2 linked regions of the Caenorhabditis elegans genome follow. The protein of the gene in region 1 purifies or fractionates together with the protein of each later gene. This does not show direct contact. Each region holds a gene or a part of one and is shown on either strand. Other genes may lie near its edges.

Region 1 (5,052 bases):
GTGCATTTGTGAAATTGGGCAGGAGTCTCCAAAAAAGATTTAGTAGAAAAAGAGAGTTGTAGATAGACAAAAATTAGATTATTTGATTTGTTACGAGGATGTGCAGAAAGAGACAATTGTTCCAAAGGGAAAAATATTCGAATTTTTGTTGGCCTCGATATCTAAAGTTCACAGTTCTAATGGTCTAATGCTTATTGTTTAAAAGTGGTGTAGCGCCAGTGGAAATTTTGCCAAAACATGTAGAAAGGTCTAAAAGAAAAAAGGTCTATCGAAATAAAACAACAGCCAAAAATGTTCAGGTTTTTTCAAAAATTTGTGTCAAAGTTTTGGCATATTCCAAATATTCGAAAACAGTTGTTATTTTTGGGAAAGTTGGAGGTTTCTTGCACATTCTATGCGCATACTATGTGACTCCATAAATTGAGTTTTTCACATTTGGCTTTAGGAACTTTGATCATAGATTTCAGTGAAAAACTTTTTTTTTTCAAGAATTAATTCTCAAAATTCCGAAACCGAACGACATACCGTTTTAATATTTTTATTCTGTGATCGTCGTGTTATCTCTTTTTCCATTTCACTCATTTGTTTTCGAATGAGTGAATCCGTTCGATCACCGGATAATTTCCGCTTTTCTTCACTTTTCTCCTCTCCTCCCGCTGATTCTTGCGAATTTTCAGGAGAATCTGATTTTTCGATGACGTCACCAATTGTCACATCGGATGACGTGGAAGTTGGTACAAGAAGCTCATCTGAAACATATTTAGGTTTGAAAATTGACAATTAGAAAAATGTTCAGGGGAAATCCCTTCAACTTTTCGTGTGGTCTCTAAGTTCCGTCCAGACATGATGGTGGGAGACGTACAACTCCTTTCGGACATGGAACAATTAGTAAATCGGCTGAGCAAAAAGAGAGAGTGTGAGATGATAAGAGACGCAGAGATATCTCTCTTGTCTCTTCTTCTCACCAAAATGTTCTCGTGTTACATGCTCACTTGTGACAAATGAGATACATGCTGGATCTTTTTTGAAGATTTTCTGAAGAACTTTTGGAAAATGCAATTTATTCGAAATTTTTAAAGTTGGAGTTTTACATTCCACTAGACGAAGAAGGAAACTTAATACGTTCTGTGAAAACTGTACGCCAAACGTTTGAGATAATGACTGATCTTCTGGCATTTGGCCTGAATTTCTAAAAGTGAAAAACCAACTAACCATTATTTTGAACAACGCCGCTTGTTTCCGTAGAATCTTCTGCTGGTCTCACCTAAAAATTAAAGACTGAGTTTGATTTCTAAACTAGAAGTATATTTTAATGAACATTTTTTAAAATTTTATCTTTTAAATTCCCGAACCACATTTATTTATTTTAGAGCTACAGGAAGAACATGAAGAAGCTCCCCAAGTCATCACTTCGCCTAATTTCCAGCGTTTTGCTTGTGAGTTCAAGTGTTTGGGCTCTGCCGTAAACGAACCTCTCGATGATTTGGTGACACATTAGAGGACACAACACTGCCAGCTGTCTGCCTTCCGTTATCGTCTTCTGAGCGATGAGATGATGATGCCTGAGAATACTTGAAGGTTATGAAGTGCAGATGAGAATTTTGGGAGCCATAAATGCATTGCTTTTGGTAATATATTTCTAGATCTATTTCAATGTCTAGAAATATCAAATACTGTTCTGCATCAATGCAGAAGCATAACTTTGTAATAAGAATTTGTGAACTTCTTGTGAGCTTGACTAGGTTACATCAAAATTAGAATTTCTAGCCGGCAGAGAGTGACGGAGGCGCCTCTCACACGCCTCGAGCGGGTGTCAGCCATGCATCATCAAACATCCAATAAGCATGTAATGTCTTAGGTTATTATATTGTGGCAAATTCGCCAAATCAGAAAATTATATGGTTTTTCCAGTTCACATGTTTTTATTGTGAATAAAACAATTTCGAGAGCTCTAAAAATAGTTCTTTCTGCAAAAATAAATTTCGCAACTTTTCTAGTTGTACAACAATGTTCCAAAATTGCGAAACATACATTTTCTGATGACTAATGTCATTTCCTTCATTTTTTTAAAGCTTATCAACCCCAGTTTTAAAAACTGCTTCTAATGAAAAATTGACAGTGTTTCAATTGTTTTTGTAAAATAACGCTTTATAAAACAAACCTGAGAAGAAGGTCTTGGCTGTTGAAGAGCCGGCTGAAATTGCATGGGAAACGGAATCGGAAACTGTGCTCCACTCGCGGCCATCATTTGTTGAAAATAATGATGCATGACTTCCTGATATTGAGCTGGAGAGAATACCATCTGAGGTTGAGCTTCACCCTCCTGAGCAGGAGCACCCGCTGTTGGAATATACGGATTCAAGAAGGGATTTGCGAAAAAATGACCAGGAGGGATCATTTCTGTAAAAAATCGAATATATTGAAGAACAAGCTTTTCCTATTTTAATTGTGTTAAGTAAGCAAATATAAATAACCAATGTCATACATTTTCATTCTGTGCACAGAAGTTTCCTAGTGCAATATATTTAAAATATTTTCTTATACTTCCGTGTAAAATAGATTTTTGTAGGGAAGGCAACATGAAAGACGTCCAGCCATATGAATAATAGCCTATTTTTGTGGTCAGGCGGCGGCGGGGAAAAATAAGAAGAAGAGGAGAAGACAGGGAATTTTTAATCGAGAAGGTTCGAAAAACAATAATATCCCCTCTATTTTTTCTTATTCTTCGAGTGAAAATATTTGAGGAAAGGTTGACCAAAACGAAGGAGCAATTCCTTACGAAAAGTTAATATAGTCTTACTAGGGCTGGCAAATCAGACTGAACCTATCTGGATTTCAGAGCCTTTTTTCTGTGTTATTGTGTTTTTTTCATATTTTTTTTAACTGATTTGATTTTGTCTTGCTTTTTCAAATATCTAAACATCAGATTTTTGAAGATCCGGGAATATTTAAACACACCATCTAAATTTGAAAAATGACACTCAAAAAACTTGAAGTCTGGTATATTTGTTTACACTTTAATTCAAAATCTCTTGTAAAACTAACGAAATGGGACTTGTTGTTGCTCTCCTCCCCCACCACCACCGGCTCCACCCCCTTTGCTCGGCGGAGGAGTAGGCGTGGCCGATGATGTGGGGACCCCGTGTTCAGGAGACGTCGTGGCGGCTGTGGCTTGTGCTACTGCTTCAGATGACATCCTGCAACAGAATTGTTCATGGTCCGATGGAAAATAGATAGGAAGATGAGGGAAAGAGAGAGGAAGCGGGAAAAGGACATGGATTATTGGATGCTCTTCTCTCGTCTCACACGCGAATTAATTAGAGCGATGAAGAAGAGGGACAAGAGAGAAGCAGACAGAGAGAGAGTTAACGTGGGAAAATTTAGAATTAACAATTGTCACCTCGAAGTTATAAGTTAAATTTTTTCCTAAAATGAGAAAATGGGAGATGCTCAAAAAGTTTTAAGATCGTGTTCGGAAGTACTGTAACACAACATGGAGTTCGAATCTACACAGACTTACAATTATGTAGTAAAAAATCTACATATCTACATATCTACATATCTAAAAATCTACATATTTTCACTCGGGAATCGCTCGCCCACTATGGGGGAGTCTACGCAAGGACAACGCAAGGACAAGGACAACATTCTAATGGAATGGAAACAATTGCCCGACTGCACCAATTCTAGTACAAGCGAACAATGATAACTTTTGTATTCTGTATTCCTTCACGTCTCCCAGCGAGCGTAATAAATTATTATTATTATTATATCTAAATAAAATACTTTCAAATGAAAATGTTGGTAAATTGCCAATTAAAAAAATTGGAGTTTTTCATTAATTTAGAGCAATGCTGCAAATGCGAAGACCTAGGTTCTAGGTTCACTTGTAAATAATTGAAGCGAACTTAAAATTAAACAATGTATTGGACCAATTATGATAGGTGGAAACTGATTAATTGCTATTAATGTAAATATAACATTTTCAAAAAATGTTGGAAAGTGTTAGAATGATATTTTCATCATGGGTGCACTATAGGTGTAGTTTTTAACATTTTTCCCACTGGAGCATAAGAAAAAAGAACAACAAGCGGAGACTGATCGTGAAACAAAATATACATTGAGGAAACCAAAAAATGCAGTGTAAGGAGTTCCCGAAGCAATATGTCGTGCCATGTATGCACGTCTTCTGAATGCCAATTCATTTGTCATGTTTCTTCGACACTCTAATCCCTACTTTCTCAGCCAAATATATGACACGTGTCGTTTTCTTTTTTTGCTGTTTCTTTTATGCCGTGCTTGCTAATCTCCAAAATATCGAGTGCTTTTTGGACTTTTGAGGGCGTTTGAAAAATATGTTTAACCAAACAATTGTATTAATGTAAGCCGCTAACTAAATGACTTTCAATTGACAATTTTCCAATTGTCGCTTTAGATGTTGAAAACGAATTTTTTCCAGATGTTGAAAATAAAGATAACTTCTTGTATTTTAGGACAAGTTCTAAAAATGTGAAAATATAACTGCATTGTGATAGAATTCCGCAAAGTATTTCTAATTTTTGACCTAAGCCATGGGAATCGTGAATGATCAACTAAATTCTTGGAAATAAATGAAAACATTAGAACAGTAAAAAGTTGAAGCTTTAAAACCTATTCGAGACGTTTCTCATTCGAGCAGCGCGGGGTTGAGAAAAATAGGGAAGAGGCGAGAGAAAAAGTGTCATAATTATGCTAATTCTGCTCTTTTCCATCGTTTTCCTTCACTCTCTCTTTCCATCCAACTCTTTTCCAGGGCACAGACAAAAAAGTATCAAAAACGGAAAGAATACACCAGATGACGGGATGAATGGGAATTTGTGATGGACGAATGGACAATACAAAACTGGTAGATGAACGAGAGAGTATATAAAGATGGAAAAAAGTGTGAATAATTTCACGTTTACTGTTATTGCGGAATAGATGGCAAAAAAGTAAACTTTTCAATTTTGAGATTAGAGTTCAAGCCGAAAATTCCGTTCAAAGTTAGTTCAAAGTTAAAAAATGTTGAGAAGT
Region 2 (4,624 bases), on another chromosome or scaffold:
TTGGCAAAACTTTAATTATCGTTTTTAAAATAACGAATAGAGATATCACAATGAACTTAGATACAATGGATAGGCATTGAAAAGGAGAACTTAAGTTTCGAGTCTCAAACGTTTTGAACATAAACTCGAATTTTCCTTCAATTTAAAGTGGTTTTCGGCCAGTACTTCGGTGTGCGCAAAAACAAGAGGGTGTGGTTTTCCGCTTGTGGAGCCGACAGGATGCTCCAAAATCAACCCCCTTTTAGATGAACACACGTCGCTATACTTTGTGAATGTAGAGAAAAAAGAATTTCAAAAATCGGTTCCGTGAGAGCCGAGATATAAACGTTCAAAGTTGTATTACACATTTTTCGGACATTTTTTGAACATTTTTTGAACACCGAAAACGCGTGTGTGTGGCAAGATGGGGGTTTTAGGAAGGAGGCAGACAAAAAAATTTGCCGAACGGAAGAGCCTCTCGTCCCTAGTCTGAATCTCACTGTTTGAATTTTGTTTAGACATTTCCCAGAGTTTGGACATGAATCTAATGACGATTCAAGTATCGTTTTCATTTTTTTTGCAATTCAAGTTAAAACATAATAAAACCAATCACGAAAATGCCTCCTACGCATTTATATCAAATTATGACTCATTTGGTCTCCTTCAGTGGAAATTAGCTATTTAAAACGGTGATTAAAATGCTTGAAAGTAAACCAAAAAAAAGTCATAAATGTTTTGAAGTGTTTTTTTTTAATTTTTACGTCTGTTTTCTTTAAATAATTTTCCTTTAGACTTGTTTAGATTGCTAAAAATGGATTAGGCACATTTTCCAAAGTTCATGGCACAGCTATAGCGAATTGAAGTTACTAATTAGAGTTTTAATATTATTATTTATGAAACAAATTTTTTAAGAACACATATTTTCTGTGAAGAGTTCATTTTAAAATTAGCTATCCATTTGAATATTGTTTTACGATTGTTTGCCGAAAATTATTCCAAAAGTTCCGAGACTTTTAGTTTCTATAGTTCGGATTATTCTGAATTCTGAACTAAAATTTTCAAATGTACAACTTTTCATGTTAATTCAAAAAATGACTCGTTTGCGCTGCTTTTGTGACAGCTGCATATTTGAAACACTGATAAAACTACGTTTTTTATTTAAGTCTGCAAAAATTGAAGTTAAAAAAATAAATCTTTGTTTTGGAAAAAAATTCAGTATTAGTATTAAATATTTCGATTTTTAACTGTGTACTTTTTTCTTTTAAAACCCTCTTTTTTTAAAATTATTTTTTAAAATAATTTTTGTATTTAATAACAGATCAGGCAAACAAATTGTTAAGAATTAATAGAAATTAAACTTCTGAGCTGCAGTTTCAGATTTGTTTGAAGTTATTGAACAAAAATCAAAATTCCGAAACGTTAAGTTGACCTCTATTCAAAAAACAAACAAAACTCCCTCATCTAAACGTGTTGTTATGGTCAGTGCGCAGTGCGCAGGTGTGGATTTACGAGCGGCCGAGGGGTCGGGTCTCGACGGGAAACCCCTTTCGCCTGAGTCTCTGCCCCTGCATATCGCTACGTGGTTGACCGGCTGAGAGGGGGAAAGTGTTCACTGCATAGCATATTTCCGTTTTCATAAACCTTTTACGGTTTAAATTCATCAGTTTTAGCTCGTTTCGCTTCAAATTTCTCATTTTCGTCTCCTTTTTTTTTCGTTTTCTACTGCTCAGTTGTTCGTAAAGCGAGGAGAGACAATCGATGAGAAAAAGAGACACAGATGCGGCCCAAATGTTGCATTTCTCCTCTTTTCCGTGCCTTACACCCGTTCTCCTATCGATTTTTGTCCCTGCGTGGCAGTGACCACATCTCTTCCGTTATTTTGTCTCGTGTTCGTGTTCCTCTTGCGAGAAGTTTCATTTATAATTTTTTTAAAATAAAACTTGATTTAATTTTAGAAAAATTACAGAAAAATGTCGGACTTTGGTAATCCGTTGAAGAAATTCAAGCTTGTGTTCCTCGGGGAACAAAGTGGTGAGTATTTTGATTGAAATTCTACCGTAGATATTGAATTCTCAAGTTTCTAAATTTCAGTCGGAAAAACCTCCCTAATCACTCGCTTCATGTACGACTCCTTCGACAACACCTACCAGGCCACCATCGGAATCGACTTCCTGAGTAAGACCATGTACTTGGAGGACCGAACCGTAAGAAATCAGTTTTTGCGTAAAGAAATGATTTCAAAATCCGTAATTTCAGGTTCGTCTTCAACTTTGGGACACCGCTGGACAGGAACGTTTCCGCTCACTCATCCCATCCTACATCCGTGATTCTACAGTTGCTGTTGTGGTTTATGACATCACCAGTAAGTTTGGAAGAAGTTTTTCTGATGTTTCATGCTGTAAAGCTTCACACTGGATCCTCTGGGAGAAATTTTTTAACTATAGTAGTGTATATAGTAGTAACTATAATAACTATATTGGTTTAATACTACAATAGTCACTGGCAGCTCTAATGCGAAAAGCTTCTAGCAAGAAGAGAAGCTCAAAAAACAATTTATATTGATAGAAAAGTTAGAATCCAAAAGGAAACCATTATTTTTTGTTTAATCTTGATTTTGAACTAGGGTGGGCAATGAAAAAACTCTCGGTAACGACAAAAAAGCTTCATTTAACCCCAACTTTTTTGCAGACTCCAACTCTTTCCATCAAACTTCCAAGTGGATTGACGACGTCCGTACTGAGCGTGGAAGTGATGTAATCATCATGTTGGTCGGCAACAAGACCGATCTTTCCGATAAGAGGTTCGAATGAGAGTTTCCGCTAAAAATTCAATTAAATTGTGTAGTGGAAACGGCGGAATATGCATTTAAGTAGCTCCAGGCTGAAGTTTTAATCGGCATAACTTTCAGTATGAAATCTTGGCTAGCTTAAAACCTTCTCTAAAGATATTGTTTGGAGATAGGAAATAGCTTTAACTGAAATTACGTTAACATAAATTGGATCTGCACTAACTTGAACTAGCTTCAACTGGACCTACCTCAAGTTTATTTTTTATAATCAGAGCCTACGCTTTTCAAGCCCAAGCTCTCTATCTCCAGCTCATCCTTAAACACAATTCAGTTGAACCTACTACATAAGCTACATAAGCTGAATCTCCCATAATTTGATTTTTCCTGAGCAAAATCTACGTTACATTAGGCTAAAAATGCGCATTCTAAACAGAATTAGTTCAAGCTAAACTTACCTTGCGCTGGCCTGTTTCGAGCTGATCTTGCGTGGTCTTAGCTGAACTATCTTTTTCTGAAACCTGTTAACCTAACTAATAAACTCAATGTGTAATGCTCCAGGTCTATTAATTTGTAACTGACATAAGACTTACATATTTTGTTCAGGCAAGTCACCACCGACGAAGGAGAGAGAAAGGCCAAGGAGCTTAATGTGATGTTCATCGAGACTTCTGCCAAGGCCGGCTACAATGTGAAGCAGCTTTTCCGTCGTATCGCCGGAGCCCTACCAGGAATCATCAAGGACGACCCAGTGGAGCCACGTAAGTTTTAAAAACCTTTTTAACTTCAAAAAGCCATGATTTTTTTCAGCAAATGTGGTCACGATGGACCCAATCCGTCAGCGTCAAATTGTCACCGACGAGGGATCGTGCTGGTGCTAATCTCTTTGTATTCCTGAGCAAAATGTCAAAAAAAGGTTGTGATACTCCAATCTCAACGCATAATTTATTTAAAGCATCCTCCGCCCCCGTAATGGTTTTGTCATGAAGAAATATTAATTATCCCCCTTAAAAGCGCTATCGCCAGTAAGTTTTGATATCTTAAAATTCCCCAAAAACATTATCGATTTTTTCTGTGTGAATGAACTCTGAATGGCTTCTTCTCTATTAACTTATGCGATGGTAAACATGTGTAATTTTCTTTGTAACATAATAAATTATTATTATTTTAAATTTTTTGCTTCTTATTTTTGCTTGGCTAATTTTAAGTGTGATAATGATTTTTTTTTGTTTTCATTTTTACTCTCCCAACATCTCTGTTCTCGAATAAATCTTCTCCGCTTTTGGTGTTAGACTAGCAGCAGTAGATCACGAAAAATGATGGGGAGGTGGAAGAAAAGACGAAAAGCAACGCAGTTTTAATCAAATATTGACTTTGTGCTTTTCGGTTAAGAATGAGCTGCTATCCTGAAAAGCAACACAATGAGGAAGAGCAACATATTTGGCCCGGAAAGATATATGTGAAACGTTGAAGTGAAGTTGGTGGAAATAAAGACAAAAAATTCATAATGTTGTTCAAAAATCGTCGTTTGCACATTGTAGATTTTTGATGAAACTAGCCCATTTTGGAATAATTTCAGATGTTTAAAAAAAAAAAGTCTTTCAGTTAAATAGCTACAAGTTCCAGATTCCAATTCAGTTGTTTCAGTTCAAGATTGTTAAAATTTCTTAAAATTTGTTCCGCTCAATGCCGTGCGGAAAATATCGGTACGACGACACGAAAACGGGCAAAAGTACTTGTACATTTTAGTGACGTAAATTGTAGTTCATTTATGCAAAATTTATACGCAAAACTATACCCGTACGAAAGATACAACTCCGTGAAAGGTATCGTCACTTAACGGTTTTAATTTAAACCGTT

Evidence for each region.
Region 2: the proteins of lin-10 (region 1) and rab-6.2 purify together in Caenorhabditis elegans (affinity purification with western blotting, with the first as the bait; one study listed by BioGRID). This does not show direct contact.

Annotation. Positions count from the first base shown.
Region 1 is NC_003279.8:8,116,118-8,121,169, forward strand, and holds the start of lin-10 (Protein lin-10), read right to left. Parts: upstream 3,198-5,052; 5' UTR 3,197-3,197; coding exon 3,046-3,196; intron 2,401-3,045; coding exon 2,162-2,400; intron 1,563-2,161; coding exon 1,473-1,562; intron 1,265-1,472; coding exon 1,213-1,264; intron 750-1,212; coding exon 526-749; intron 1-525. UniProt on the Caenorhabditis elegans protein: Required specifically for the determination of 3 vulval precursor cell fates P5.p, P6.p and P7.p during late second and early third larval stages; required for basolateral localization of receptor tyrosine kinase let-23.
Region 2 is NC_003284.9:17,220,530-17,225,153, forward strand, and holds rab-6.2 (Ras-related protein rab-6.2), read left to right. Parts: upstream 1-1,945; 5' UTR 1,946-1,949; coding exon 1,950-2,010; intron 2,011-2,070; coding exon 2,071-2,183; intron 2,184-2,235; coding exon 2,236-2,341; intron 2,342-2,667; coding exon 2,668-2,779; intron 2,780-3,370; coding exon 3,371-3,525; intron 3,526-3,574; coding exon 3,575-3,645; 3' UTR 3,646-3,936; downstream 3,937-4,624. UniProt on the Caenorhabditis elegans protein: The small GTPases Rab are key regulators of intracellular membrane trafficking, from the formation of transport vesicles to their fusion with membranes.